4 linked regions of the Struthio camelus genome follow. The protein of the gene in region 1 interacts with the protein of each later gene in a biochemical or structural test. Links are inferred from orthologs where the notes say so. Each region holds a gene or a part of one and is shown in the gene's direction. Other genes may lie near its edges. The genes, in order: RUNX1, DTX2, ELF2 and FOS.

What was found.
Region 2: the proteins of RUNX1 (region 1) and DTX2 form a complex in vitro, tested with the Homo sapiens proteins (2 studies listed by BioGRID, with this or other methods). The link is inferred for Struthio camelus from reciprocal best matches to the Homo sapiens genes RUNX1 and DTX2.
Region 3: the proteins of RUNX1 (region 1) and ELF2 form a complex in vitro, tested with the Homo sapiens proteins (2 studies listed by BioGRID and IntAct). The link is inferred for Struthio camelus from reciprocal best matches to the Homo sapiens genes RUNX1 and ELF2.
Region 4: the proteins of RUNX1 (region 1) and FOS form a complex in vitro, tested with the Homo sapiens proteins (2 studies listed by BioGRID). The link is inferred for Struthio camelus from reciprocal best matches to the Homo sapiens genes RUNX1 and FOS.

What each region holds. Positions count from the first base shown.
Region 1 is NC_090942.1:121,272,968-121,280,319, reverse strand, and holds the start of RUNX1 (runt-related transcription factor 1), read left to right. Parts: upstream 1-4,340; 5' UTR 4,341-4,355; coding exon 4,356-4,443; intron 4,444-7,352.
Region 2 is NC_090957.1:14,471,739-14,478,740, reverse strand, and holds the start of DTX2 (probable E3 ubiquitin-protein ligase DTX2), read left to right. Parts: upstream 1-3,986; 5' UTR 3,987-6,041; coding exon 6,042-6,060; intron 6,061-7,002. UniProt on the Homo sapiens protein: Regulator of Notch signaling, a signaling pathway involved in cell-cell communications that regulates a broad spectrum of cell-fate determinations.
Region 3 is NC_090945.1:32,451,438-32,458,438, reverse strand, and holds the start of ELF2 (ETS-related transcription factor Elf-2), read left to right. Parts: upstream 1-4,001; 5' UTR 4,002-4,090; intron 4,091-4,320; exon of another isoform or gene 4,321-4,558; intron 4,559-7,001. UniProt on the Homo sapiens protein: Isoform 1 transcriptionally activates the LYN and BLK promoters and acts synergistically with RUNX1 to transactivate the BLK promoter. Isoform 2 may function in repression of RUNX1-mediated transactivation.
Region 4 is NC_090946.1:57,949,399-57,956,707, forward strand, and holds FOS (protein c-Fos), read left to right. Parts: upstream 1-4,304; 5' UTR 4,305-4,464; coding exon 4,465-4,605; intron 4,606-5,029; coding exon 5,030-5,272; intron 5,273-5,386; coding exon 5,387-5,494; intron 5,495-5,593; coding exon 5,594-6,202; 3' UTR 6,203-6,997; downstream 6,998-7,309. UniProt on the Homo sapiens protein: Nuclear phosphoprotein which forms a tight but non-covalently linked complex with the JUN/AP-1 transcription factor. In the heterodimer, FOS and JUN/AP-1 basic regions each seems to interact with symmetrical DNA half sites.

The sequences.
Region 1 (7,352 bases):
ACTGCCTTGGAGACTACTGACAAGCTGCTGCAATGGTGGATGCTGGTGTGTGGGGGCAGCTGACATGCAACTGTGTCCCTGAGTGTTGCTTTTAGCGGGAAGTCAGCACACAGATTCCCAAGTTGCAGTTTTGTGTTTTTCGAAAAGTAACCATTTCAACAGCTCTCTGTCTGCATTTAAAGGAGACAATAATGGAAGAAGGGCTCCTGTCAAAAAAATGAATAAACATGCTTTTGATAGCTTTCAAATGTCTGGTAGGCAGCTCCAAAATAAATGAAATTTTAGCTGTTGTTCCAAATGTCTCACAAGGTTCAGTTTCACTGGAGAACGCATCCAGCTTCAGCGTGGTGAAAGTGCACATAAATATTATGCCCAGCCAAAAAGGCACCGACATTGGAATTTTCCCGGTAGCCATGTATATTTGTCAGTGAAATCCACCCTTGGTCACAAGTTTGGCAATCTCCTCCGAGACACAGGCGAATGTCCACCACATCCAGCTTCCAGAAAAACAACCTGTTTCAGAAGGGGGTTGCTAAACACTCTGCAAAGAGGATGTAGTGCTTCAAAGCTAGCTAGAGATGGTGTTGCGTGTCAAAAACAGGACGTGTGCTCTATCCTGTTTCATTCTTACTTGCCTCTTTTTTTTTTATCTGTCTTATGCTTTTCAAAATATGTCAGTCATTTAGCTCAGTTCAGAGAATCCTAAAAATACTTTTCTTCATAGAGTGGAGCTCTCTGTGCTTATTGGGTAATTTTTCTGCACAGTCGTTAAAAAGATTGGCAGAGGTTGGATCTTAAGATCAGAAAGGAACGTTAGCTTATCAAGCACGGCTTTTTGTGTAGCATAGCTCGTAGAATCCAGTTATTCCCAAAGGGAGCCCAGACTGTTATATTTGTCAAATATAAGTTTATCAAAGCAGTGTAAGGTTCATAAAGAGATCGGGGATGTATTTCACAGTGTTCCTGTCTTGCCTATTCAATGAAGTACAAGGTTTTAATGTTAGCATGACGTTGGTTTGAACAGATGTCCTCCAGTGTATGTGGGGATGCTAACAGTATATAAGAAGATAAAATGCTGCATAACTTTGGAGAAACTACTTCTGCTAACAGACCTATCTTAATGTTAAAATTTTGGAAAACTATATTGCTAATCTCTTTTTTAGTCTGAAAACAGGATCCATTCATCCATTTTCACTTTTTATACCACCTGCTAATGGTATGCCATCAGATGGCTCAGTGTTCCCACCTACTTCAATTTTATTTCAGACTTACATTTACTTTTACTTTACAAAACAGATTGTGGAGCTCCCCGAGGGCTAATCTCAAAGTCTGTGCAACGCCTCAGCTTATTGAAATGTGGTCAGCAAAAAAAAAAAGTATCAGTCCTGATTTCCAGATGATCTGAACACTGGCAACTCTACTGAAAGCCTATGAGAGTTGCAAATGTTTAGCACCTTCAGGAATGTAGGTTTCGATTTTTAAGTGAATGACTTACCGTAAAGTATATCTTCCTTAAATAAGTATTGGGTCAGAAATTACCACTAGAGTAATGTTTGCTGTGTGTATGTAGGAATTAGGAATACCTTTTTCCCTGGCTCTTATAACCTCCTCTCTTGTCCCCTACCACCTCTAGACTAACACTGAATATAGCATATAGCTGAAAAGTAGCTGATGGGATAGTCAGTGCAGTTGATGCAATAAAAACATAGCTGGGGTTTCATTTATGCGTTCATTAAGCTGCCTTTGCATTTGTTGAATGCACAGACCATGAGTAAAAAGCTGCAAGAACTGGTAGCTTTTTCCTAGAATACCAAAACGATGAAATTGAATTAAATAGAAAAGAAAGTCTTTAACAATCTCCTCAATTTCCTGTATCGTCTGATCCAACTAAGGTATTATATTAGGGAAGGAAAATACAAAACTTAGATCCATCCCAGGTCTTTAGCTGAGTTTTCCCTGGAAATCCATGTTCTCTGATGTCAACATATATGTATCTTGCATAGCCCCATCATTTCTTATCTTTATGTAAATGTGCGCAAGATGCCTGCACGCTGATAGATGGGCAACAAGCAATAGGAAAAGGAAGGTGAAAACTGATAAAAATACATGAAAGAGTCAAGGACTAAAGGTCCGCACATTTCAAAAGCTCAAACCTAATGCTATATGGAGAGATGGAAAGAAGGAACCTTCTTCTATATAGTTAGCATCTGAAGATAGCAGCTAGCAGGGGGTGCTTTATCTAGCCTGTAACAGGGGGGTTATTGCATCTCTGCCGAACCACTGTCGGCAAAGCCCAGGAAACATCTTGCTGTGCAGTTGATGAAACATTTGCCTGAGGTCTCTCACAGTACTCCTGTGGCAGTTGAATAATGTCATAACCCAGGATTGTGTAACAGCCGCTAGAGTGGTAGAGATTGTGCTGTTTCACTTCACATCACAGGGTTTTTTCTTCTTTTTTTTTGTCCTCTTTCCATTATTTTCCTCAGGATATGGAGAATGTTTTTTTGTGCAGGTCTCTCTCCTCTTTCTTTATGCAGGCAGTGTTAAGACAAGGTTCAAAAGAAAGAAAAACAAAGTACCACTTCATGTTCTTCCATTCAGTATAAGAACAACAGACAAAGCCCCTTACAGTTTCTGGATTAAGCTTCCCCAGCTGTAAATTTTAATTTGCTGTCTCTTTTATACCAGCTGTGTTGCAAGATTCTGTGAGATCCACAGGAATTAGAACCTGCTCTCATGGACTTACGACTTTGGGCCGTTCCTGCAGCATAAGCGTAATTTTCCTAATAGGCATGTTATACGTGTTGAAGTGTTTGTAGGGCCTATAGATTTGTGGCCATATGTTGACAAGTGAGATATTAGCCTTTTTATTGAATATAATACATAAAACTCTACTTGAAATGTGAAATTTGGTCAGCAGCAAATCCCTAGTAAATCTCATAGCCTTTTGTTTCCACATATATTCCCTGATTTCATTAGAAACATCCCATCCTGCAGTCGAGGAAACACATAACCCATCACGTGAGCAAGCTATACATTTAGGCAACATTTCTTTTTGCCTACCTAGATGCAACTGCCACCACCTATTTTTATTTCCTCTCCTCGTTGTCTATGACCATCTCTCCATTTTCTAGGAGAAGAAATGGAGTACAGGATATGTTTGGTATCCTAGCCAACGTTCCCTTCCTTAAATGAAAAAATAGAGGAGGAGAGAGTTGCTATGTGAGCCACTAAGCACGCAGAGTTTTTATGCTACTGTGGTGTAAGAGATGCTTTGCATTGCATGCTAAGTTCTGGTTGTCCTCCAGCTTTCTTTTGCGCTGTTTCAGTGACGGCAGTAACTGGAATACACTTTGGGGTCTGGTTTAAGGCATTGAAAATCTCTCTATCCATCTATCCATGCATTCCTCCCTCCGTCTGCATATCCATCTTTCTCTTCGTGAGTACTTTATGAAATTGCTGAATTTCACACCTGGTGACAAGTGTGACAGGCTCTTACAGGGTATATATCAACTGGTATGCTTATAGGAAGGATTTTTTCCTATTAAACTTTAGAGAGGTGAGGTGTACATCACTATCTGCTGAAAAAATTTCAAGCTTTGCAGATACCAACTCATATATTTTCACTTCCTGATTTATCACAATATAGCAGCCAACTCCTGTTACCATTACGCATACAAATACCCATCCCAGGGACTTCAGTGGAATTATTCCCATGTTCAGGGGTAGAAAAGGTTGAACCTAAGCTATCCAATGTATTTACGGGAAAAAAAAAATCTCTTCGTAATCAAGGGCATTCTTATGGTATAACTGTCTGGTGCTAGTGATTATAAAACCCTTTGGGCAGGGGACGTCTGTAGAAAGAATCATTATCAGTGCCATTACTCTGTTCACTAGTAGTAGACCTTTGTACCTTTGAAAAAATGCATCAGCTGAAACAATAGGAGACCAGGCGTCCAAACAATCTCAACCTGGTTCCTAACAGCAAAACTCTGAATTTCGAATCTTCATCCAATTCCACTCTAACTAGGCAGAGAAAAATCATTTGAGAAGCTAAATGAAAATTACTAGCCTATAAATGCCTGAGGCAAAAAGAAAAAAAGAGAGAGAGAGAGAAGAAAGGGAGGGAGAGGGAGAGAAAGATGGGGGAAGTCTCATGTGAGTTTGGTTAGTGAAAAAAAAAACACGTACTAAGTATGGCTGCATGTCATTTTTCAATTTGCTCATGTTAAATAATGATCTCTAGGGCAGAGAAAGAGTGGAGTGAAAAGGAAGAGCTCTCCCCTCACCTTGTTTAGTTTCTGCTGGTCTTTTGCAGTGTGTGGCCACTGCCTGGCTATCATATAAACCTAAACATGAACCACGGGCAGTTTGGTATGTCTTCTCCACTATCCTGGACCATGTACCTGATGAGGAAAAACAGAGCAGCCACTGGTTTCTTTGGTAAAGACTTATTTATCTTCCTTTTCAACAGTTTTTCTTTTCATTGCAATGAAATGGAAATTTTGATTGTAAAATAGTAGGAAGTGTTTGGTGAAAAAGATCTTAAAAGCAGTATAATTTCTGCTGGAGCAAAAATTAGGAAATCCATCACTGTGTGCATGTGTGTGTTTTAACTTTCACTAGACAGTTAAATACGTATGGAAGTTTTCACTAGACTGTTAAACATGTTGCAACTATTTTTAACTGAATTAATTTCTTCAGAGGAAATGCTTCAAAATAGTTTTCATTTCAAATGCTTGGGATGGGGGTGCCACTAAGTCGGGGGGGTGGGGGGGGAATTCTACTGCTGTATGTGAGGGGCAGAAGATGACGCCTGCCAGACAACACTCGCAGTTCAATGTTTTGCAACCTTATTAGAGCAAAGTGATCTCAAAGAACCAGCTAGTGTAAACAAACGATGTTAATTGACTTGAGCTCAAGTCAGAGGGTTATCATCAGTAGTGATGCTCTTTTAGACAAATTAAAGGTTTGGCCTATATACTTGGTGTTTTTTTAATGTCTCAAAAATGACAATGGAAAAAAAAAATCTCATCAGAGCTTCAAAAATAGCTTTTTATCACAAGGATCTTCTGGATAAAATACTATGAACTTCCATAAAGCATTGACAAGTTGTATAGACTCTGCCAGTGCCCATTTTGCTGTGATTCTGTTGAGAACGGGACCGCCTAGTCCATCATCATCTCGCACAAGCAATTTGACAGACAGAAACACATTATACCTCTTTTAAATATTTGACATACTTCCAGATTTGTTTCCTTTTCCACAATCGTAGGGCTAGCTCCGTTCTTGGTTGCACTTCTTTTGCTAAATATGTATTGAACTAAATTGATCTCCGAGTGCAAAAGGGTTGCATAGTTGGGTTTTAATTATTGTTATTGTTCTGGCTAAAAAAGTTCTAATAAAGAGGGAAGGTCAGATTGAAAGTTAGGAATTATGAAAGGAAGTTCTACTATTGTTCATTCAAACTTGAAGATTCCTTCTCTTTCCCTTTCCCCACTTTATGTTTTAGTAAGTCTGTATGGTCCTTACTTCAGGGGGTTGCTGCTAACAGTTACTGCAGTATAGTTTCAGCTTACAGTTGGACAAGGGGACAAATTTTGTTCTGATTTATAGTCCATAAACCCCCTGAAATCTGAATTCCACTGATTCTAATTTGGTGTCGAATTTGGGCTGGTATTTTTCCTTTCTGTCAGCTGCGTGGATTAACATTTGGTTCTGTTACAGAGCATTTTTGAAGGTGGTATTTAATCATTTTGTAAAATATCTAAGTGCTAGATAAAGCCCAACACTGACGACTTGCTATCTGAGCATTAAGTCATAATGTGCAGCCTGTGACTATAAAACGATAAGCCATATGCCATCCCGCTGCGAGAGCTGTAGCCTTTCGTTCGTTTGTTTCCGCAAAGCTTCACACACGTTGAAAGGCTTGAAAAAGCCTGCGATGCAGCTGGATGATTTATGAGACTTTTCAGAAACAGCCAAAACAGTGAGACATTATTCTACCAACCTGTCCATGGTATTATGACCTGTGCCTCAAATAAATCTTGATATCTGAGGAATACATTCTACTTTGTAAAGTACTGGCATTCTTGGTGGTTATCTTTTTTGCAGAATCCAAGAAATGCGTATCTTAATCCAAGATCATGGAACATGAAGCAAATTACAGAGTGAGGGGAGGAATATGTTTAGGAGGCAGCATTATAAGCTGTGGTTGGTGTTTGTGCATGCTATAATGACTATATAGAGAGAAAGCTCTAATGAAATGGTCAAGTAAGAAACATTTGCTACATTTAGATTCTATTTTTAACAGATGCACAAAATCCTTGTTCTCTAGAACACCAAAGAAAACTCCCTTTGATACCATAGATAAACAGAATTATATATGGATATCATGATAGATGCTGTGTAGAGTATAAACCACATGAGCAACTACCTTTTTTAATATTGTGCTGTGTAGGTTTCGTTTAGCGGTGATAATTCCTGCCCTGTATACTTTGTACAATTTACATCTAAAAATCACGCAAGAATGGTCTGTATTGGCTAAGAAAGGCTTGAACATATTGCTACGTATGTCTGTTACCTAACAAAGGTAAAGCTAAAGTAGTTACAATCCCTAATTTCATCGTTGTGCAAATGATGAGGAAAAGCAGATTAAAATATTTTGTTGTCTTTAAAATAAACTTGCTAATTTATAGACAGCCTATTGTGCCACTGGTGTCATGTACAACATCTGTAAATGGAAAGCAGTAGAGGGATACGTTCTTAAGCTAATCTTGTTAAGCTTTGTTCACTCTGTAGCACATTTCCTTTTAAACGATGCACAGTTGCTACTGTAATTGGTTTTTAAGGAGCCTTTCATTATGACTTGCTGCCTTGGAAAGAAAATGTTCCGCTCTTAAGTATTCTATAAGCTTAGGGTATATTTCAGGGCAAGACCCTAAAGTTAGAAGTCTGGAATTACAGTTTTTCTTCTCACTTATGCTGACACAAATAGAGAACTTGCAGCTAGAATTTGGTAAGCAGAGAAGTGGGCCCACAGAGGGCTTTATAGCTCAGGTTTTGCTAAGCCCTGTGAGATTGCTATCCCTGTGCATGACCCTTCCAGGAAACTGGAGGACAGCTCTGCTGTGGCCTGGGCCCCACGTTGCCCAGGGACAGGAGGCAGCAGCGAGAGAAAAGGGCAAAACTGGGCAGGTTTACTCTCCGGCATGCAGAGGGGACCTGATTCACCATCGCATTGCCATGTCTCCTGCTGTTTGGAGGACCAGCCTCTACCTGGAGTGCCAAGGCACCCCTGCCTGCCCTGCTGGGCGGCCACTGCACATTTCTCAGCACCTCACTGGGGTTAT
Region 2 (7,002 bases), on another chromosome or scaffold:
GCCACGGGCCTCCACAGGCCGCCACAGGCTGCCATGGGCCGCCACAGCAGGCCATCATGGGCCTCCACAGGCCACGACAGGCCGCCGCGGGCCACGTAGCCTGCCGCCGGCGGAGAGGGCCCTGGCCCCGCGGGCCCGAGGGGGCTGCGTCGCCGGCAGGGCGCTGGGCTCCGTGGCGGTCGGCCGCCTTCCGGCCACGCACCGGGGCAGCAGGGCAGCGGCGCACGCCACTGCCGGGCCTGCTGCCGCGCCCCCGCGCCTGCCTCGTCCCCAGCCGCCTCGCTCGCACCCCGCGCTTGTCTCCGGCCCTCCAGCCCTCTGCGTGCACGCACGCACACGCAGGCATGTGCGCGCACACACACACACACACACACACACGTGCACACATGCACGCTCACACATGTGCACACACATGCTCACACCCATGTGCACACACACGCATGCACATGCACACATGCATGCACACACGTGCACACAGACGTGCACACATATGCACACACATGCATGCACGCACACACAGACGTGCATACACACACACACACATGCACGCACACATGTGCACACACACGCATGCACACACACAGACGTGCACACAGACGTGCACACACACTCACACGCATGCACACCCACCCGCACGCACACCCACCCACACATACACGCGCATATGTGCACACACACACACACACACACACACACAGACGTGCACACACACACACACAGACGTGCACACACGCACACACATGCACACACACACACGGATGCACACGCACACACATGCATGCACACACCGACCACACACAAACACACACCCCCCACCCGCGCCCCTCCCCCCGCACTACATCTCCCAGGCGGCCGCGCGCGGCGCATGCGCGCTGCCGCCCCGCCGCTGTCGGCCGGGAAGTGGCTGCCCCGCGAGCAACCGCCGCCGCCGCCGCCGGGAGTCACGGTGAGGGGCTCGGCCGGCCCGGGCCTGCGGGGGGGGCGGGGGCGGGGGCGGCTGCGCGCCGGGGATCAGCCCAGCTCCGCTCCGCTCCGCTCCGCTCCGCTCCGCTCGGCCGGGCCGGGGCGGCGGTGGGGTCCGGCGCCTTGCCGGCTCCGGGGTCGGTGCCGGGGCGGTCGGGGCCGGGGCCTGGCGCGGCGGCAGTGCCGGAGCGAGCCCGGGCACGGCCGGGGGCGGCGGGTCGTTAAGGCGTTTGGGTGCCGGCCGGGCCGCAGCCCCCGGGCCACCCCTGCTCCTGGCCGAGCCGCCGCGGGCCGGGCCGGCGCCCGTGGCGGGGGAGCCGCTCCAGGTCTGTCGGCCGCGGCGCCCCAGCGGGGCCTCGAACCGGCGCCGTTCGCCGCCGGGCGGCCCGGCCGGGTGCGGGCCCGGCCGCGCTGCGGCCGAGACGCCGGTTTGCTTTTCGCGGCGTGCGGTGGCTGCGCTGGGGCTGCCCTCGGCGCGGGGGCCCTTTGGGAGGAAGAGCGCGCTGCTGCGAAACCAGCTCTTCTGCTCCTGGCTCTGAGAGGGCTCGGAGAAACCTCTGCAGACCTGTCCTTATCACATTGGGAAAGGAAGGGAAAGAAAGGGGCTTGCCGCAGACTTCAGCCTCCCGTGACCGAGTCTTGACTGTGCTAGGACTGCTTTTAAACCCTGGCTTAATCATGTAGTTGCTCCGTGACTCAGTTGCCTAACAAGCAGAAGGTTTGGATTACTTTAAACAGGCTTCCTTTTGTCTACCTGGACAGTAGACGACAGCCTTTTTGCTGGAGAGCTGGGTTTGAGTACCAGCCTTGGACAGTGAGGGTCTGGGGTGAATTACAAACCTAAACAGCAGAAGCGAACGTTGATGAGATGTAGTGCTGCCAAACTCCTCTGCACCTCTGGTTCTGCAAGGCGTTCTCCACTGCTGGGTGGGCAAAGTCCTCCTGCCAGTCCTGCAGAGCCGTTTCAACTTGCTATCCCAACAGAAAGCTATCTGCGTTTTCCCCTGGTTTCGTTTTCTGCTGGGTTAGTGATTTGATTATTCCTGCAGAGGGATCTGACAGGCAGCAGAGCTCATACAAAGTGCATAGCAGGAGCAGGCAGCTGGGAGTGGGGTCTCCGTCTTTTGGAAGCTCTGGGCTCTCAGGGCAGCTCCTCTCTGTCTCGAGGAATCATCCCATAGTGCTCTTGAAAGTCTGCTGCCTTAGCTTTATTGTGCTTAATGAATTGTGCTATGGTTATACGGCCTAGAGAGCAAGGACATAGTTCTCCTTGCATCAAACTCTAAGTTCCTTCTTTGCTTCCAGCCCATGGTCTCTCATGTTTGTGTGGGTGTTCGTTACTGCCTGGACAACTCCTGATTTACCTCCGAAGCTGAGGGTAGGTCTGCAAAAGGATCTTGGAAATAGCAAATTGTCTGTGGGTAACTGTAAGTGCTTTCTGGTGTTTAAACAAGGAGATAGTATATTTAAGCAAGGAAGTGGTAAGAGTTTGTTGATGTAAATCTGTTTGTGCCGTGTGGTGTTTTATTTAAATCTTCTAAGGTCATCTTTAACTTCTAATGGGTGTGTTATGTGGCAAAGTGGCAGGACTGGCTGTGAATTGAATGAATCACCAGCTCCCATTGGCAGGGACTTGACTTTTGACTTCTCATATAGTATTTTGGAATCCAGCTGCATGGTCCAGTAGGGAACTTCTCTAAATGACATGGGTGCTGGTCTGTTGAGAGAATTGGCTTCCTGAGACTGGGTAGGAGATTTTCTTTCTACCTGCAAAAAGAAAATAAATAAATAAAAGCTTTCTTGTTACTAGCTGAAGCTTTGGCGAAAATGGAGAAGCCCTCCAGATTTTGCCAGGTTTGCACTCCCATGAGTAAATAATCTCCCTCCAAGTCGATAATCTTCTATTTCAGTGCCCTGGAAGGACCCTGGAGCAAGTGAGCAGGATGCTGGGTTTGGTTTGATGCCAGGCAACTGTTCTTATATTCAAGTGTACCTACCCTGTTCCCTTTGCCTCAGCATTCCTATTCATTTGTGCCTGAAATAAGTGCTCTGCCTAGTTGATAGGCAAATGCTTTGTTCTGCTCCAGTTACACTCTTTATTTCCTCCTCCAAAGGGAATTTTCTTGAAATTTGTTTTGAATGGAGGGAATCCAGGTTTTGGGTGGACAGGTTTTATTTCTTCTGTTCTTTTGGCTGCCAACCCAGCCACCTTGTGCTGTGATTACCAGCGAAGGCTACAAGAAAGCAGGACTGTGTCTAGGTCTGACCCCGACTGCGACCTCCCCTCTACCATTTTGCTCTATCCTTCCCCATCTTCTGGGTCGCTGCTAGCTGTTGTGCTACTCGGCGCTGGACATGTGTGTACGGAAAGGAGTGCTTAGGATAGCCAAAGCGACAGAAGTCAGGTGACTGGAAACAATTAAATGGCTTCCCCAAGATGGCAGAGCTGGGGAAAGGACTGGCCTCTCCTGATCTTTGCTTGGTTAAACGGTTCCCATTTCTCCCTGTGGACACCGTTGTGGCCTGATGGTGTCACCTGCTCATCTTCCTGAGTTCCTGGTCAGGACAGAGTGTCTTTTTGCAAAATATTCCCCAGCGCAGGTGGAAACTGGGGGCTTGAAGCAGCAATTACAGCCTCTTTTGCCAGCAATCAGACCACAGATGGCTGGAGAGCAAAGTCTCTGAGCAGCAGTGAGCTTAGCTGGGCAGTCTTGCTCTGTGGGTGGAGTCAGGCTGTGTCCCATTGGGCCCAGATGGCCCAGGAGCAATGAAGGGTTTGGGATTTGTGAGTTGAGGCCCCGTTTTCATTTGCAGTATGTTCCCCTCAGTTATCCAGCAGGAGCTTCATCCCTTGCAGAGAGCCTGCAGAGGACCTGTTGCATGAGTATATTTGCAGCTCCTGTTGCGCTGGGTCCAGACCGGGGGGGGGGGATTAGATGTCACGGGGTGCTGCAAGGGGGCTAGCTGCTCTTCCATTTGGCATTGCAGTGGCACAGGGCATATCAAATACTGTTCCAGTGAGGCACCCCCTCTGCCGAGGGTCCCTGCCTTATTACAGTCTCACTGCTTTCTTCTATTTTACATACGCTTTTAATCAGTGTATAATCTTTTTCCAGCAGTTATCTATAAGGGCTTGTCTGTAACTCTTCCAGTGCCACCTCTCGTATGCTGTTAGTGGCACTAACAAGTCTCTCCTGGGCACCCTTGTGTCTGAACAACGTGCCGAAACATCTCCGTGTTCTGAAGACTCTCATTCTGGTGATTTTTGAACAGAGCCTGCAACCCCAGCCAAGCCCAAGGACTCCTGAGGCCTTCTCTCTTGCACTTGTGGTACAAACTAGCTCACCATGTAACTTCTTGTTAGCACTGGCAATTTCAGGTCAGAAACTTAAAAAGGGATGTGGGGTTTTTAGAAACCATTTTTGACTTTTAAGACCTTACTTTCAAAGGAAAAGAAAATTCAATTTTATGGTAAGTAGAACAGGTCTGAGAATTAAATGTCTTTCAAATGTTTTAATTCCCCTCGTTCCTGCCTGTCCCTCCCCAGCTTTCTCCCCATGTTTTGCTGGAGCTCGAGGAGCAGGAGGCGAATCTGCTGGGAAACACAACTGAAATGCACCAAATTCTTTAACTTGTCCAAGTCCCCAGTTAAATAAAGCCTTGTGGGCAGATATTACGACAGGTGTGCTGGGGCATAGAGATCAAACCAAACAAATCCAAATTCAGGATGTGAGCCGAAGTTAAAAATCACCTCCAAAGTGGAGGACAGTTGGCTGGACTGTTTTAAGTATCCACTTCAAGTAGCAGGGGGTTTGTTTTCATTTGGGGCAAGGTGGCCCACTAGGATTTCTAATTGGAGCCAGGATTATTTGCTGAATAAACATAGCTCTTTGGGGTAGGTTTGACTTTCAGGTTCTTTTTAAAATTAAAGGTGAAGGGTTAGTCTGAGGGATTTTAACAAAGACATGTAGCTACTCTCTCAGTGGTTGCAAATCTCCCCAGAACAGAGCCAGCGTAAAGGAGCTGGTGCAGCAGGCAAGCAGGGTCAGGAGAGAGCTGCGTTGGCATGCTGTAGATGGTAATGCTGAATTGCTGCTGCTAGCATCCCAAACACTATGCCAGCAAAGTGGGTGTAGGATATATAACGCATCCAAAGCCACAGCCATATCCATAAAGCTGTGTTAGCAACCCACCCCAAACCTCTCTGTATGCCTGTGTAATGTGCACAGCAGCCCAAGGGGGTAGACGAGCAGCTTTCATATTGAATTTCTCAGCTTTTAATGTTTGTGTGTCACTGAATTCATGAAAGGGGGAAGGAACTGCAACTTGTGTCTTTTTCCCCCCTTCTGTGCCTTAACTCGGATACTCTTGTAATTTTGGCATACTGAAGTTCTCTCCTGTGACTGATGGTGTGCGTTCCTTGCTTCCCAATCCTTGCAAACAGCTGCCAGCTAGAGCACTATTCAGTGACAAGAAGAGGCTGAAATACACTCCTTACTCCTTGGGACCTGCATTCCCAGTGCAGGAAATAGCTCTCCTTACTGATGGGGAGTGAATGTCAGAGCACACCATGCTCGCATGCAGCCAGTCGGGTACCTTTGCTTGTGTGTGGGAGCGGGTTGGTGCGTGTGGTCCAGAATTCAAAGCGTCGCTGCCTTCCGAGGAAGTGAATAATAGACCTTTGTTACCTCTCTGGTCTCAGCCAGTCTTGGCCAGTGTTGCAGTGAGTGCAAGGTGGTATGTAAACGAGGTGGCGCTCGGTGTTTTTCTGCTGTGATTCCTTCTTTTTTCCATTTCCTGCCACTATATTTTAAAAAGGAAGGAAAACAAACTGCTGACTCCCTTCAAAAATCCTCCTACTGGTCGCCTGCTCTGCTGGTGGCTGAAGATCTGCAGATCAGTGTTTGTTAAAGAAGACTTTGGGGAAAAAAAGGTGTCTGTTCTCTAATTGGGGTTCAGAGCATCTAATGAGTGTGTACAGCCCCATACTGGGGAGGACAGAAACTCATACTTGTTCAAGCAGAGCGTGGAAATGCTGACGGTCTCTGAGGAGTAATAGTGTTGGCGTGAAACCTGCCATGAAAAGAAGCAGCAGAGGTAGGTGTCAAGTTTGATACCAGAGGTTTGTGTGAAGTAATTTACTGTTTTGAACAGGAAAATAACCATCCCTGGTACATTAGGTGGAGAATGAGTTACAGCAAAAAATGATTTTTGTGACCAGAGCCTTCTGCTGTTGGTAATCTAAAGCGGTTTGTTGCCAACAGCAGTCAAGCTGGGGATGTTCTGTAAAAATCTCATAGAGCAGCTCATAACTAATTTTCATTGAATTCCTGGAGAAAGTGTTGGTTTCTTCTTATAAATGCAGACACGTGGGTGTGTCTTTGCTCCTTTTTTTTTCCTTTTTTAAGCTAGTGAACCATGCAAGAGTGATGGATGGGACGCTCCAAGCAGCTTGGGATCTTCCCCCATCCGGTAGGAGTGTAATTCTCCATGCAGATGGCATCCTCCAGTGGATACCACCCACTAGTTATCTGCATCTTGGGGACCTAAACCTTTCTATTTGACAAAAAGGAGGCTCATAGCTCCCTGTTGGCTGGTAGTAAAGTGAGCACTCGGCATCGTGAGACCTTAGGAGGGAGAAAGTGATTTTATTTTAGAATAAAATTGGCTTTGCTCATTCACGCTCATGCTGTCATATCCACCTGCACACAAGCACCAATGTGGGTTTCTCCAAGGGGTCTGTGCAGCATTCAGGCACCAAGATGCACGTGTCCAGGTGGTCTGGACAGGATTCCTTGCAGTGACACAGCAGACAAGGGATGCCAGCTATTAAGTCCTCCAGATGTCTCTTGGACTCTTAGTTTGACTGTCATGTGCTGGCTTTGTGTCTGCCTTTTTATATACTTTGGGAGCTAACGGTAACTGTGATCTTTTGTCTCTGCATCCTGTCACTCTTCTGTGAGTCATCAGGATTTACTCACTAGCCTTTGTCTTTTTATCTGGGTGTCTTAAGGCTCCTATTCTCTATTCTTCTCAAGA
Region 3 (7,001 bases), on another chromosome or scaffold:
TCTTACAGATTCATGCCATGTATAGATCTTCCCTTGTCATCTTCCTCTCTGCAGTCCCAGCTGTAGCCCCTGTGGTCCCTGTGACCCTTTTGCTACTGCACCACGAGGCCTTCCTCATGTCCTCCAGTCCCATAGTGCCACCAGTTTTCCACTACGCTCCTACCCCTGCCCCCAAAAACCACAAATACCTTCATTTTTTGCAGGGGGAGGATAGGAGTTGGTTAGCTAAGAAACAGCATTGCTGTGGCTGGTACAGAGAGCTATGTGCATGACTAGATGTCAGGTGGCTGCTGTGGGTTGGAGTTAAAATAGCTGCTTTCTCTGGTGGGCGCACTGGTTAGGGCTCTCTCCTCTGCTCACATACTTGCTTTCCTGAAAGTTAGACGAACTTCATATTGCTGATATCTCTACCCTGTTATAAAATGGAGCTGAAATTAGAAAATAATTTCAAAGGGAAAAGAATGACAGAGACGGATGGAGGCACAGATAGCTAGGTCTCATGAAGCTTGTTTCCTTAGGCTAAAATGTGGCTTACTTTAGTAATACTGGAGAGCAAAAATGGGATGCTTTTCTACAACTGTTTAAGAATGTTATGGAGTCTATCGAAAGTTCAGATAAAAAACCCCAAACTGTGAAAACAAAGAACCATTTCCATTTTCATTTTAGAAATGATCAATACATTTTATTGTTGCTAGATTGCATCATTATTGCTCTATCTCCAGAGTTTTCAGGAAATAGTCTGTATGTCCTGTAAGTCTATCCTAAAAAGAGGAAAAACTATTTACACCTGTAGAATTACTGCTACTTCATTAATAATGATTTACAGAATGGACTGACTGACAGAAGGGTCGTGGGACCTTAACTCCCTTATTTTTTTTCTAGGTCATTTCTGGGTCATTTCTTCTGGGTCATACTTCTGGGTCTGAATCAGTATAATTTTCCCCTTTCATCTGAATGATCAAGGGTAGTAGGCTCAGCATATAGAATTAGATAGGCGACAATCTTTTGAGGACCAGTGTTTAAAAAGCAATGTGGACCACAGCTTTCTATATGCAAAGGGGGCAGAGCAGCATCTGTTGAACTACTGACCCCATGTTATTGCACAGCAGTATCCCAGCAGTAGCAGTTTTGAATTGACTGCAGATCTACCTCAGGAGTGGGGAAAAAGGACCAACCTTTTTTTTTTAGGATAGCTGCATCATTTATAAAACTTCAAAAATTATTCAGTTGAATTGATGCAAACCCTTTAGCGGTCTTTCTTTTTTTCTTTTTAAATAAATATTTTTCAGCTTAGCTTTCTAAGTAACTTAAACCAAAAAGAGGTGTTCTTAAGAGGAATACAGCTTTCCATATGAACAGTTAGTCTATTTTTTTTTCAAATGCCACTGTAATTATCTCAAATCTCTGCAGATAAGCACAGGTCTCTGCAGTTAGAGAGCACTCAGTGAGGTGCTGCTCACGGCCTCAGCTCAGCTCATTAGAAGACAAGGTGAGAAATGGAAGTCATGTAAAGAAATTAGATTAGGGGAAGCAGAAACCTCTTTACCTCAGCATCCAAGCTGAGTGTGGAGTGAAAGTGAGTAAAACAGAGGACGGACTGTGCCAGACGGTGAGAGAACAAACACCAGCATTACAGAAGATCACTTAAATGGCCACCTCTGGAGCACTTGCAAGCTGTGGGACCAGCCCAGTGACTCCATGAAGGAGCTACAGAGAAGGTTTGGTTTATGTGGGCTTTTGTTTGGTTGACAGTGGGCCTATGTTTTGAAAGGAGAAGGTGTCTGCTGCTGTTCTTCATGAAGAAGATCATAGCAAGAGGTTTTCTTTTTCTGAATATTAACGTGGACCCAAGCAAAGAAAAAAAACTGAAAGAGTGAATGCCACAAGTCAAAACTAGTTAAGCACCAGAGACGAAGCTGAGAGCAGTTAATTCCGTCAGGCTGCAGAACTGTATCAATGGCTCAGATTCCCACCCAGCTACTCTTTGTTCCAGTCTATAGTAAGGCAATTTCTGTCAGTCACACTCTAACCTTTTCCTCCCTATATAGTACCATGTTCTCAAATCATGCTTTCTTTTGCTGTAAATAGGCTTCATTTATTTTGCATTTTCAGCTACCATCTCTGATCTAACTCCAAGGCCTATAATAGGTGGACTTCCATCATCCACTCTCTACGGGATTTTAATTTTACATCCTTGTTGACACAGTTTGCATGCTTATCTTTCAAAACATTAAAAGGTCATGTACAAGCAATACTTATATACAAACAACACTGCAATGTACCAGCATTGGAAAGCATTCTATAATTTTTAGCAGCAATCTGGATTCCAATTAACAAATGTTAAGCTTTTTTCCACATAGTGTTTGATACTTCCTTTTAAAGATAGATAAAAGATCTGGAAGTGATATCTCTTATCTTTTAAAGAGCAGACAGATAAGCCAAATTGATATCGCTGAATGTATTCTTAGGAAATCCTGTAACTAGCGACATCCAAGTATACGCCATATTAAAAATCTAGTGGGCTTAGTGTGTGGTAAAACCTTAATTTTGTGAAGACAACATATACGCTATAAAGCGACTGCTAAGTTTATGCCTTGGTAGTGACCACTTATGTAAGAGACTGTGTTACAGATGGTGCCGCTAGCCCCATTTATTATTAACATTGCCTGACACAGTCTGGAAGGGAAGCATCTCTAGTGTTTCCACGCTGCAGGGCACTGACTTGATATTCGTAGGGCTGCCTTTATTGTCAGGGAAATGTTTGTGTCATCCCCAGGGAAAACAGCTGCCCCAGAAGATGGGTTATTTGTACATAGCCTGTAAAAGGAGGTCATGTTCTAAGGCCTAAAGACACCTGAAAGATCTTATTTCCTTAGGAAAGGAAGCTGCTGCCCCAAAGACGCACAGGAAAGAAACATCCTGTTCAAACACTTCATGAATGGTAGCCAGACCTGTTAGACTAACGGTTGGTAATATGCCCAAGGCAGAAACCGAGGACCGGAAGTTAGACTTGGTGGAGATGAGCAGGACTGTCAAGGGAGTGTTAGACCCGGTGGAAACTGAGATGAGGCAGAAGTGTGGTTTTGCACACCGCCGAAGGTGATGGGCACGTGCGGGTGACAGCGCGATGTGTGTGTCGCTGAGGAGCCCTGTGAGAAAGGGAGCGTGTCAGAGCTTCGCCATGCGCAGGCACAAGGGGGCCTGATTGTTTGTGCAGGACACGGTCGGTCCAGCGCTCCTTAGTGATGAGCAAGTGCCTTCGCAATGTGAAGAGTCTTCCCACCACTGTGTTTTCTGTCTGTAACGAAAATGTTGTGCCTCCTGTTCTGCTAAGGCTCTTCTGTTTATTACTGCGCCATGGAAAGAAGGGTATTTGTAACGCTTAAAGCCCTGTATGTGTAAAAGAGGGCACCGATTCTACCCTAAACCTCTCAGATAAGAGTAGATCGAGACAGTTACTCTTGGCAGGTACTTATTTGCGAGCAGACTCCGACAGTAACACATACTTCACTGCGAGGTGACAGGAGACGTCCCCGCAGCGGAGCCCCACAGGCCTTGTCGGGAGGTGGGGGAGGGTGTTTTCCCTCCCCCCCCAACCTCATTCCCCACATACAGCCAACTGACTTTTTTCAGCTCTTAGGAATGCTGCACGCGGCAACTAATACGAAGACCCGACGCACCTTATCACGAGGAAAGGGATGAGGGAGCTCAACGAGGGTGCCCGCACAGCACAGCTCCCCCCCCAACCCTGGCAGCCCCCAACGGTTGCCCCCAACGGTTGCCCCCAACGGTTGCCCCCAACGGTTGCCCCCAACCGCCCTCCTCCCCTCCCACCCTCCCGCGCGCGAAGCAACGGCTTCCCCCGCGCGCACGCGCCAGGCGGCCGCGCATGCCCACAGCGCCCCCGCGCGCCCGGCGGCGCGAGCATGTGCAGAGGCGGCGCAGCGCGGGGAGGGGGGGGGCGGGCAGGTTGCGCCGCGCACCCGCCCCTCCCGCCGCGGGGCGGCCCTGCCTCTGCCCGGGCGGCGCCCCCCGCCGCCGCCGCCGCCTCCTGCTGCGGGGCCGGGGCCGGGGCCGGCACGGGGGCACGGTAAGGGCGCGGCGGCCCGCGCGGGGGCTGACAGGCGGGCGGGGGGCGCGGCGGCGGCAGCAGCCCCGTCCCACACTTTCGGTTTCGTGCGCGGCGCCGGGCGGCGGCCGTTGGGCTCCCCCCCCCCCCCCCCCCCCCCGCCGGCGCTCCGTGGCCGCGGCGTCGGCGGGCGGCTCCCGGCCGCTGTCAGTGTAAACACGGCCCCGCGGCCTGCCGGGCTGAGCCGAGCCGGGCCGCGCCGGGGCCGGGCAGCGGCTTGTTTACGCGGGGCGAAGATGGCAGCGCGGCGCGGTGGTGCGCGGTGTCACGCGTGCCCGCCCCGCGCTGGCGGCGGGTGAGCGGGTCGGCGCCGGGCCGGGCCGGGCCGGGCCTGCCGCCGCCGTCCTGCCGCCCGGTGCCTGGGCTTTATTTCTGTGCCCGGCTGCGTGTCCTGACGTTACTGCCCGCGCCGCTCTCGCAGCGCCCTTGGTAAATAACTCGGGAATCTGGCGTGTTTTTAATCCTGCCGCTGTGAAGTATTGTACTTTGGTAATTCTGGTGTTTGTGTCTTGTCTGCTGCCTTTTGGTAGATGATCTCTGTCGCTCTTCTTTTTTTTTTTTTTTTTTCTGTTTCTCTCCTCAGTTAAATGATTCAGGTTTTCGTTCTGCTTATTCCCTCCTTTACGGCTAGTCACTGCCAGGTTCCCTGTGACTTTTTTTTTTTTAGCCGTTTAATTTATTTGCAAAGACTGTTAAAGCTCACCTGCTATCGATTTAAAAACAGCAGTTTGTGAGGAGCCTTTCATATCTGCTGAGTTCGCCTCTCATTGTGCTCTAAAGTTGTCTTTACTCTCTATGTATGGATAATTATTCCCCTCTGCTGCAATTTAGTCATAAACCTGTTTGGTACTTTCTGAATAATGTATGTGCATCAAACTTTGAGAGCTTCCCAATTAGTCAAGACAAATGCTATGAAATGAAGGTAAGGGTAGGTGTAAGAGTATAAGCGTTAGAGAGTTCTCAAGACTCGTAAAAACAATATTCTAACAAAATTGCAGCAATTTTGGACCACTTTACATAAATATCTGTTACCAAAATAAGTTGAAAACTCCCCTGTTCATTATTTCTCATTCCAAACAAGAAGTCATTTATTCTGTTGAGTAATACAGTCACAGAGCCAGATCTTTCTCTTCTGTTACCACAAAAATTAACTTCATTTCAAGGATCTTAAATTAAATAGAAAACTATGAATCTGGGTATAATGGGTCTGATTCAAGGTCCACTTCCTCCCTCTTCCCCTGCTCCATCTCTGATAGTGGGCAGTGCCAGTTGCTTTCGGAAAGACTTGGGGAACAGGATGTGTACGTTGCATGATACCTCCATTAGCGTACTCTTTCCATCTCGGATTTCAATAATATCTGGTTCAGAAAGTCCCTAAACTTCAGCCTGTGTATATGCATCTTTGTGTTTAATAGTCGTTGAAGCTATCGAGGAGCTTTACCTTCATTAAGTTTTCTAATTTAAATCTTCCAAGTTATGCTGCTAAGTTCAAAAAAAAAAATCCTATGACATGAGTTGCATAGTTTGATTGTGTGCTTCTTCCTTTTGTTTGTTTTTAAACCAGCATCCTCACCATTTTATTTCATCTGCCTCTGGCTCTTTTATTATGTAAAACGATGAATAATTGCTCCCTGCTCTGGCTTGTGGGGGAGTGGAAATGGATGTTAAGGACCAACAGTTGACGTAGTGGGAGGGGCTGTGCTGGTAAGAAGTAGGGGGGTGCTTGTGAGACTTCTCTCAGAGGGAAGACAACGTTTCAGGGAATCTTTACATAGAGAGCCCTGGGAACAGTAGGATGAGATATGGGGAGATCCAGAAGAATGCCACTGAAACCGTGAAGCTTCTTGCAAAAAGTTAATAGTTCTTAAGTGATTACAAGCTTGTGTGTTTTGGGGCTTACCCGCTTTAGCTACTTGAGATTTCAGAGCCAACTTTGGATGTTTGGGTTATCTAATTAAATGTGTGGAAGGAGTTCCTGCAGTTTTCTCTGAGGTTTCTGTTAGTATTGTTGTCTAGTTACTGGACTGGATACATCGTTAGTTTGATCCAATGTAATAATTCCTGTGCATTCAGTAGTACAGTTATTGTCTTGTTATATGGAAACTGCTGGTGTCTGAAGTATGTCCTGGCTAGGACTACTTACCTTGACCGTTCCAAATTTTGATTTCTTTCCCTGTAACATGTAGTGATTCGTATAATTTGAAGTGTTATAAATTGCATGGATTATCTGTCTTGTTTTTCTGAACTTGGAGATACAAATATTTTCTTTATATCACCTTTCTGAGCAGACCCAGTGATTCTTGGGCTGTCTATGAGTTTAAATCTTTTTGCTCCAAGTCAATTCTTGCAGTAAGGTAATTTTTCAGTTTGTAGACTTGTTCCAACTTTCACAAAACTAAATTGGTACTTATAAAAAGGTAAATGAAATTTGCTTCTGCAAAATGCCAGTGTGAATCAGTGTGAAGTATTTTGGGGGAAAATGCCTTATGAAAGAACTTTCAGTGGGTGTAAAATTGTTTTTACAAAGCATGCTGTAGTTTACACGCATCAGAGTGATAGTGATGTATATACTGGTATACTTAAGGTGCTGCCTGTGAAAGAGGACCTTTGCACCCTTAGGAAATCTTTTTACAGTTAATGGGATTCTGCAGTGATCTTGGTGGTGTATTTCTGCATCTGTCACCAATTTTATTCTTAAGTTGACCTTGTTAACTTTTTTGTTAAACTGAAGGAAGTTTAACTTTTTCGTTAAACTGCTACCTTGAAAAAAGTTGTATAGGATGCTACTGCTGGTTGCAGTCCTGCTCTTGCAGTTGCATTTATGTAGGTATCCACGTAAATCCGTCCCCAGAGTTTTGGATGCCAACTGTAT
Region 4 (7,309 bases), on another chromosome or scaffold:
CCAGCCTGCAGCCCAGCTTGGCGTTGGCTGCCTGCCCTGCGGGGAAGAGCAGCTCGCGCGGAGGGGGCCAGCGGGACGGCCCAGCCGCCGCCGCCCCCAGAAAGCGCCGGTGAGGTTCGTGGGTGCGATGGAAAGCCCAGGCTGACTCCTGCTTGTGTCGGATTTTGTTGCGCGCTCCTCGGGGGGTTCCAGCGAGGGAAGCGCCGCTGCACTCGCCTCCTTTGGATCTTGCTCCATTAGCTGAAGAAGACCTCTGTCAGTCTGTCTGTCATGGGGCTTGAACGTGCTGCCTCTCACCGTAGCGTGCGAGCTTGCTTCCTCGCCCTGCTTCATTTCTGAGGTTTTACCTCTAAATACTGAGCAGTTCTACAAACACGTGGGCCACCTTGTTTCGCGTAGTTTCCTCTCCTCTCGCGGCTGACCGATGGTGCCCTAGGAGGATAGATGATAGCACGCGCAGCGCCCTGGGGTGGGCTCGTCACCTTAGAGGCGCAGGGAGAGAAGAGGCCAGCTTGGCTCCAGCAGTAAAAAGGGACTGTGCCGGCAGCAGGAGCGTTGCCTGGAGGACACTGTGCTTGCGCTGCTCTGGGTTATAAAACGTCACTTTGGGGTCGCTGCTGCTAGAGGTGAGGGTCCCAAGGCCAGCCCGGCCCATGGGTCAGGGGCGTACAGGACGTGCCGCGATGGGCGAAGCCGCCTTTGAGACTTGCCGTGTCTGTGCGAAGCGCGGTGTTGTGAGCGTATGGAGGCAGGTCCGGCCGGGCGGGAGGTGGCATCATCCAGCACGGTGCAGGCAAGAGCCAGAGGCAGCGCGGTGACAACGGGTGGGAGGCGCTGGCAGCATCATTGGTGGTAATTGGCAGCTGGTGGCATGTGGCTGCGCGACCACGAGATGCCAGGATGTCTCCGCTCGCCGTGTTTGTTCTTTAGGATGTCCCTGTCACACACCCAGCTGCTGTGATTATTAATTACTATTTATACTTGGCTATAGGTAGGCTCTGCACTTTAAAGAGCCATGAAGGTGGGAAGGCTGCCCTCCCGGGAGCTCCCAGGCGAGGTGGCGTTCGTAGGAAAGCCACAGCTCAGCCCCCGGATGACGTGACGGGGCCCTTCTCCAGCGCCTGCTCCTCTGCCACAGCAAGGCAGGGGGCACCCCCCCCCCACTGCTTTACCAGCCCCCTTTCCTACTGCTCCCTGCTGCTCGCTCCAGAGCCCCGCGGTCCCTGCCCCGCTCTGCAAGCCTCCGCGGGGCCAGGCAGGCGGAGGGGCCCCGTCACGCTGTGCCGGGAGAGTGTGCGGCGCAGGACACGGCGAACAGCGTGCGCCTGTGCGAGGGGAATTGCACTAGTGCCCCTGCTGCCTGCGAGGTCTGCGCCGCCGCGGGGAGCTGCGCCGGCTTCTCAGCACAGAGGAGCATTTGAGAGCAAGGAATTATTTGTTAGTGCCCAGGGCCATGTCCCTGTGCCCCCCCCCCCCCCCCCCCCGCCGGTGGCTCCGCCGCGGGCCCCTCGGCACTGCCGACCCCCCAGCAGCAGCCCCAGGTTTGGCAAGAGGCACATGTTTGTCGCGGCGCGCGCCCGGAAAGTGAAACGTGGAAGCGCTCGGTGCGGTTAGCTGTGGTGAGAGGATCCATGTGAGCTGTTGCCCGGCTGCCGGCGGGCCGCGCTGCTGCCGTGAACTTTCCCCTGGTGAGCGGCCGGACGGAGGCACAGCCCTATCCTGACCCGGGAGTTGGCGGTGGCTGCGCGGCTCGCGCTGCAGTGGCCGTGGCCTCTCCGTCCCGCCGGGCACGTGGGAACGGCGGGCCTTTCCAGGCAGCAGCCGGCAGCCCTGCCTGCGCAGGGGGCTCTGCGCGGGCGGGGGATCCCGCGCCCCGGGGGCGGGGGGGGGTCCCAGCCCGGCAGCGGCGCGTCGGGCCGAGCCCCGGCCGAGTGCCGGGGGCCTGGCAAAGCCCTGCCGACCCTGCTCGTGCGAGTTTAGCAGCACTGCGGTACTCAGCGGGCTCATGGTACTTGTGTGCTGCTGTTGCGAGCGGGCCAAAGGACGGCTCGTTCCCCGCTGGCGGAGCCAGGCAAAGTGCCTCTGTCAGGCTGCGGCACGGGAGCAAGGGCAACCCCGTCACCCGGGCAGGAGGGTTGCGCTCTGACTGTGTTTTGTCCCTGCGGTACTGCTCACTTCCTCCTTTTCTTTTCACAGACAGTGTGGTAAAACCGTGTGCGCCCCGCGTTTGGAGCAAACAACAAACCCACGTCATGTGTTTTTGGTTTCTCTGTTTCCTTGCCTCCGTCGGCACATGCTGGAGATGCGCAGCGTCTGTGCACTTTCCGTTTGGTGCAAACAGAGCGCGCTGGGTCGCCAGCGGAGACGGCAACAGACGGCTTGCATCGGCACCACCAAAATATTTTGGGCTCTTGGCAAAGCGGGTCCTCCCCCTGGTTTCCAGAAGTTTCTTTTGCGGGTGCGATTTGGCAGGGGGAACCCCGGGGCTGCCTGCAGGCGGGAGCAGGGCTCAGCAAGCAGTCCCCAACGCGTGGCTGGGAAATGTTTGGGGCCTTGAACTGTGCTGCAGGCTTTTCTCCAGCCCGAGCCACCCTCCTGGGCCCTGCGGGGACGCGGCCGTGGTGGCCGGCGGGCAGGGACGGCCAGGCCGGGGCTTTGCGAGTTCACCGGCGAGGACGGACCCCTTTGCCGGCAGCGCGGGGCCGAGGCTGGCCGGAGAGTGCAGCCCTGGGCGCCGCGCCGGGCTGGGGCCAGCCGCTGGGCTGGAGCAGGACCAGCCCCTGGGCTGGCGCAGAGGTGGCGAGAAGCCCATGGGCCGTTGCTGGCGAGCGGAGCGGGCCGTGCGCCGCGGCAGTCCTTGGCTGTCCCCTCCGCTCTGACGGGCAGCGCAGAAATAGCAGCTGGCCCAGTTCTCCCGCCCCCGTGGCCCAGATCTCTAAGAACGGAGGTTGCTCGCGCAGCAACAGCGGCGGCGGCAGCAGCAGCAGCAGCAGCAGGCGCTGCATTTAGCCCATGAGCTCAAAGAGCGGGAGAGGCTGCCAGCAGGATCCCAGCCTGGCTGGGTGACGCTCCTGCTTGGAGACTGCGCTGCAGGCTCTGTTTGTTGCTGTAAACATGCTTGCTGCTGCAGCTTCCCTGTTACTATCTATAGCCGCGATCTCTTGGCGCCCGTGCAAGGCGAGTCTGCGGTCTGGCTCCCAGCTTTGCCTGACCTGAGCCAGGGCTGCCTGACATCCCCGTCGTGGGTGGGTGTCTCCGGGCTTCGCTGCAACCGGGATCAAAACAAAACCCAAACTAGGGGAAAGGACAAGCCTCACCCATTGCTCCTTGCTGGTGGTTTCCTGGTGGCCCCCTGCCCACCCGCTGGGGGTACAGCGGCATCCCGGCACCCCCGGGCGCTGCTCCCGAGCTCTCCCAGCCCTCCTGGGGGCCGTGTCTTGCCCTGCAGCCCCGCAGGCTCCCCTGGCAAGGCTTCCCAGCGCCCTGTGTCATTATCCTCCTTCTCGGCTCTTTCTCTGCATATATAATAGAAAAGTAAATAATGCCACATGAGTGTAACATTTTCCTCGCTGCAGGAAATGGAGTAGGTTAGATTTTCCACATGGACAGCCTGTAATATTCCAGCGCCGGGCTACAGACAGAAATCGCTCGATGCCAGCGCCGGGATTTATTTGCAATAAAAAAAGTAGACGTGTGTTCCTCGGAGGAGTACTGCCGCTCCGGCTGCCCGGCCCGGCCCGGCCCTGCGCCCCGAGCCCTTGCGTGCCGCCGAGCCCGCTGTGCGGGCGCCTCTAGCCGAGCGGGAGCGCGGGGGGCGCGCGGTCCGGCGGGGACCCGACCCGACCCGTCCCGTCCCGTCCAGTCCAGTCCCGCGGGGCGCGCCGCCCGCCGCCGCCGCCGCCGCCGCCGCACTTGGCTGCAGCCTGGAGCGGTTCCCGTCAGTCACACCCCCTTGCACAGGATGTATCCCATATAAGGATATCTGCGTCAGTGGGTTCCCGAGCTTGGCGGTACCACGCCGCGCGGGAGGTACCACGCGGCACGCGCGCGGGGGGGTGGCCCCGCCGCCGGTCCGCCCCTCCCCCCGCCGCGCCGCTCGGCGGCCGCCCGCCCCCCCCCGGGCCGTTGGGCGCGGCCCCCCCGCGGGAGGTGGTGGGGGCGGAGCGGGCGGACCGGCCCCGGGGCGGGGCGGGGCGGCGCGGGGCCGGCGGCCCCCCCCGCGGGCGCGGGTGGTGCGTCCCCAGTGACGTCGGCCTTTTTCACACGGCGGGAGGGTATAAAAGGGGCGGCGCGGCGCGGTACTCCAGGGCAGAGCGAGCCGAGTGGCGGAGCAGGAGCCGGAGCGACGCGGTGGCGGCACGGACAGGCGCAGCCGGCCTTCCCGATCTCCTTCCCTCTTTCCTTCCCGCCTGAGGACACTCCGCTCCCACGGCCCCGGGTGTGCACCCTTCGAGCCGAGCCGATATGATGTACCAGGGCTTCACCGGTGACTACGAGGCACCTTCCTCCCGCTGCAGCAGCGCTTCTCCGGCCGGGGACAGCCTCACCTACTACCCGTCGCCGGCGGACTCCTTCTCCAGCATGGGCTCGCCTGTCAACCCGCAGGTGAGGGCCGGGGCGGCGGGGGGGAGGAGGAGTGGGACACCCCGGCGGGGGGGGGGGGGGGACGCGGGCCGGGACCGGGACCGGGCGGCGTGACGGCGGCGGGCTGCCCCCGGGCCGGGGCCGCATGGGGCGGCGGCGGGGTGGCCCCCGCGGCGGGGCGGGCGGGGAGCCGTGGCCCGGGCTGCGCTCTGCAGCGGGTGCGTAAAGCGGCTTCATTGATAAAACGCGAGTTCATTGAGGAGACTCCGGAGCGGCGTCTGCGTCAGCGCGGACGTCAGAGATATTTATAACAGCTCCTTTTCATGTGGAGCCGGGTGATGGCAGCGCGGCGCCGCGGCCGGCGCGGCCCCGGCGGCTGCGGGAGGCGGCCCGGGGCGCTGCCGCCCGCCCCGCTCACCGCCCCCCTCTCCCCCCCGCCCCGCAGGACTTCTGCGCCGACCTGGCGGTGTCCAGCGCCAGCTTCGTGCCCACGGTGACGGCCATCTCCACCAGCCCCGACCTGCAGTGGCTGGTGCAGCCCACCCTCGTCTCCTCGGTGGCCCCCTCGCAGAGCCGCGGCCACCCCTACGGCGTCGCGGCGCCCGCCGGCGCCTACTCCCGGCCCGCCGCGCTCAAGGCGCCGGGAGCCCGCGGGCAGAGCCTCGGCCGCAGGGGCAAAGTGGAGCAGGTGAGCGGGGGGTCGGGCCGGGTCGGGGGGGGGGGCCGGGGCTCGGGCCGCGGGGCTGCCCCTGCCGGGGCACGGGGTTGGCAGCGCGACTCAGCGGCCTCTCTCTGCCTGCAGCTGTCCCCGGAGGAGGAGGAGAAGAGGAGGATCCGCCGGGAAAGGAACAAGATGGCAGCGGCCAAGTGCCGCAACCGGCGGCGGGAGCTCACGGACACGCTGCAGGCGGTAAGTGTGGCCCGGTCGGGGGGGCAGGGGGGTCCCGGCCTGGCCGGGGGTGGTCGGGGCACCAGGCTGGCCCTGGCTGACAGCCCGCTCTCTCTGCAGGAGACCGACCAGCTGGAGGAGGAGAAATCCACGCTGCAGGCAGAGATAGCCAACCTGCTGAAGGAGAAGGAGAAGCTGGAGTTCATCCTGGCAGCCCACCGACCTGCCTGCAAGATGCCCGAGGAGCTGCGCTTCTCCGAGGAGCTGGCAGCCGCTGCCGCGCTGGACTTGGGTGCCCCCAGTCCCCCTGCCACCGAGGAGGCAGCCTTTACCCTGCCGCTGCTGGCTGAGGCCCTGCCGGCTGCACCACCGAAGGAGACCAGCGGAGGTGGGCTGGAGCTCAAGGCTGAGCCCTTCGATGAGCTGCTCTTTGCCACAGGGCCACGGGAGGCCTCCCGCTCGGTGCCTGACATGGACCTGCCTGGGGCCTCCTCCTTCTATGCGTCAGACTGGGAGCCGCTGGGTGCTGGGACCAGTGGGGAGCTGGAGCCCCTCTGCACCCCCGTGGTGACCTGCACCCCCTGCCCCAGCACCTACACCTCCACCTTTGTCTTCACCTACCCCGAGGCGGACACCTTCCCCAGCTGCGCTGCCGCACACCGGAAGGGCAGCAGCAGCAATGAGCCTTCGTCCGACTCTCTCAGCTCCCCCACCCTGCTGGCCTTGTGAGTGGCCTAAGGCCCCTGTACTGACTGACCTGCCGGGCCCCCTCCCCTGCCCGTGCGCCCCCATGGACTTGCCGCTGTGCCCCACGGGTCCCCAGGCCCGGGGAGGGCCCCACCACCGCTGCCCCCTCTGTCTGGCCTGGCACCCTGGGGCCTGGCAGAGCGCCCTGTGCTGAGGCCTCGTACCTCTTCCAGAGATGTAGCAAATCGCATGGAATTTGTCTTGTCCCCAATGGCCCACCCATGAGAGCTGGTAGTCTGTAGCATGTCCCACATGGCTGGGTTGGTGACTCCCTCCCCTCCTTAGTATCACTAGCATTAACTAATTAATCTCTTGGTTTTAAATTATTGGGATTTAACCTGGTGCTGGGTATCTCCAACTCGTATCTAGTGCAGCTGATTAACAATAACTGTGTTCCTGGCAATATCGTGTTCTGATGACTTAGCAATGACCCATCTTCTGTGGGGGGGGGGGGGAAGAGACTCTATTTTATTTTCTAGTAGGTAGATAAATAGCTATATCCATGTACTGTAGTTCTACATTGATGTTCATTGTAACTTTACTGATCATGCATTGTTGAGGTGGTCTGAATGTTCTGACATAAGTTTTCCATGAAAACGTTTTTATTGTGTTTTTAATTTATTTATTAAGATGGATTATCAGATATTTATATTTTTATTTTATTTTTTTCTACCTTGAGGTCTTTTTTGACATGTGGAAAGTGAATTTGAATGAGACTTAAGCATTGTTTGCTTATTATTGTTCAGAGACATTGTCAATAAAAGCATTTAAGTTGAATGCTGGAGGTGTCCTTGCATTGCCTTCTTGCATCACTTCCTTGTGACCCCCAGAAGTGGTTCCCTTCTCTGTAACGTGGGCTGGGATTCATGAGCTGCAGCCTGGTGCTAGCTGTCTGAGGCATGGGGTGCTCCAGGGGCAAGGGTGGGAATGCCCTTAAGGACAAGTCTGCCCCCTGTCAGAGGGCTGGGGCACTTGGGATGGGTGCCAGGGTGATCTCCTCTTCTATGACCTTACCCATCCCCCCTCTCCCTCTGGGGATGCCTGTCCTTGGCCTGCTGTCCTTTCTCTGCCCTTGTACCTCTGCATTTC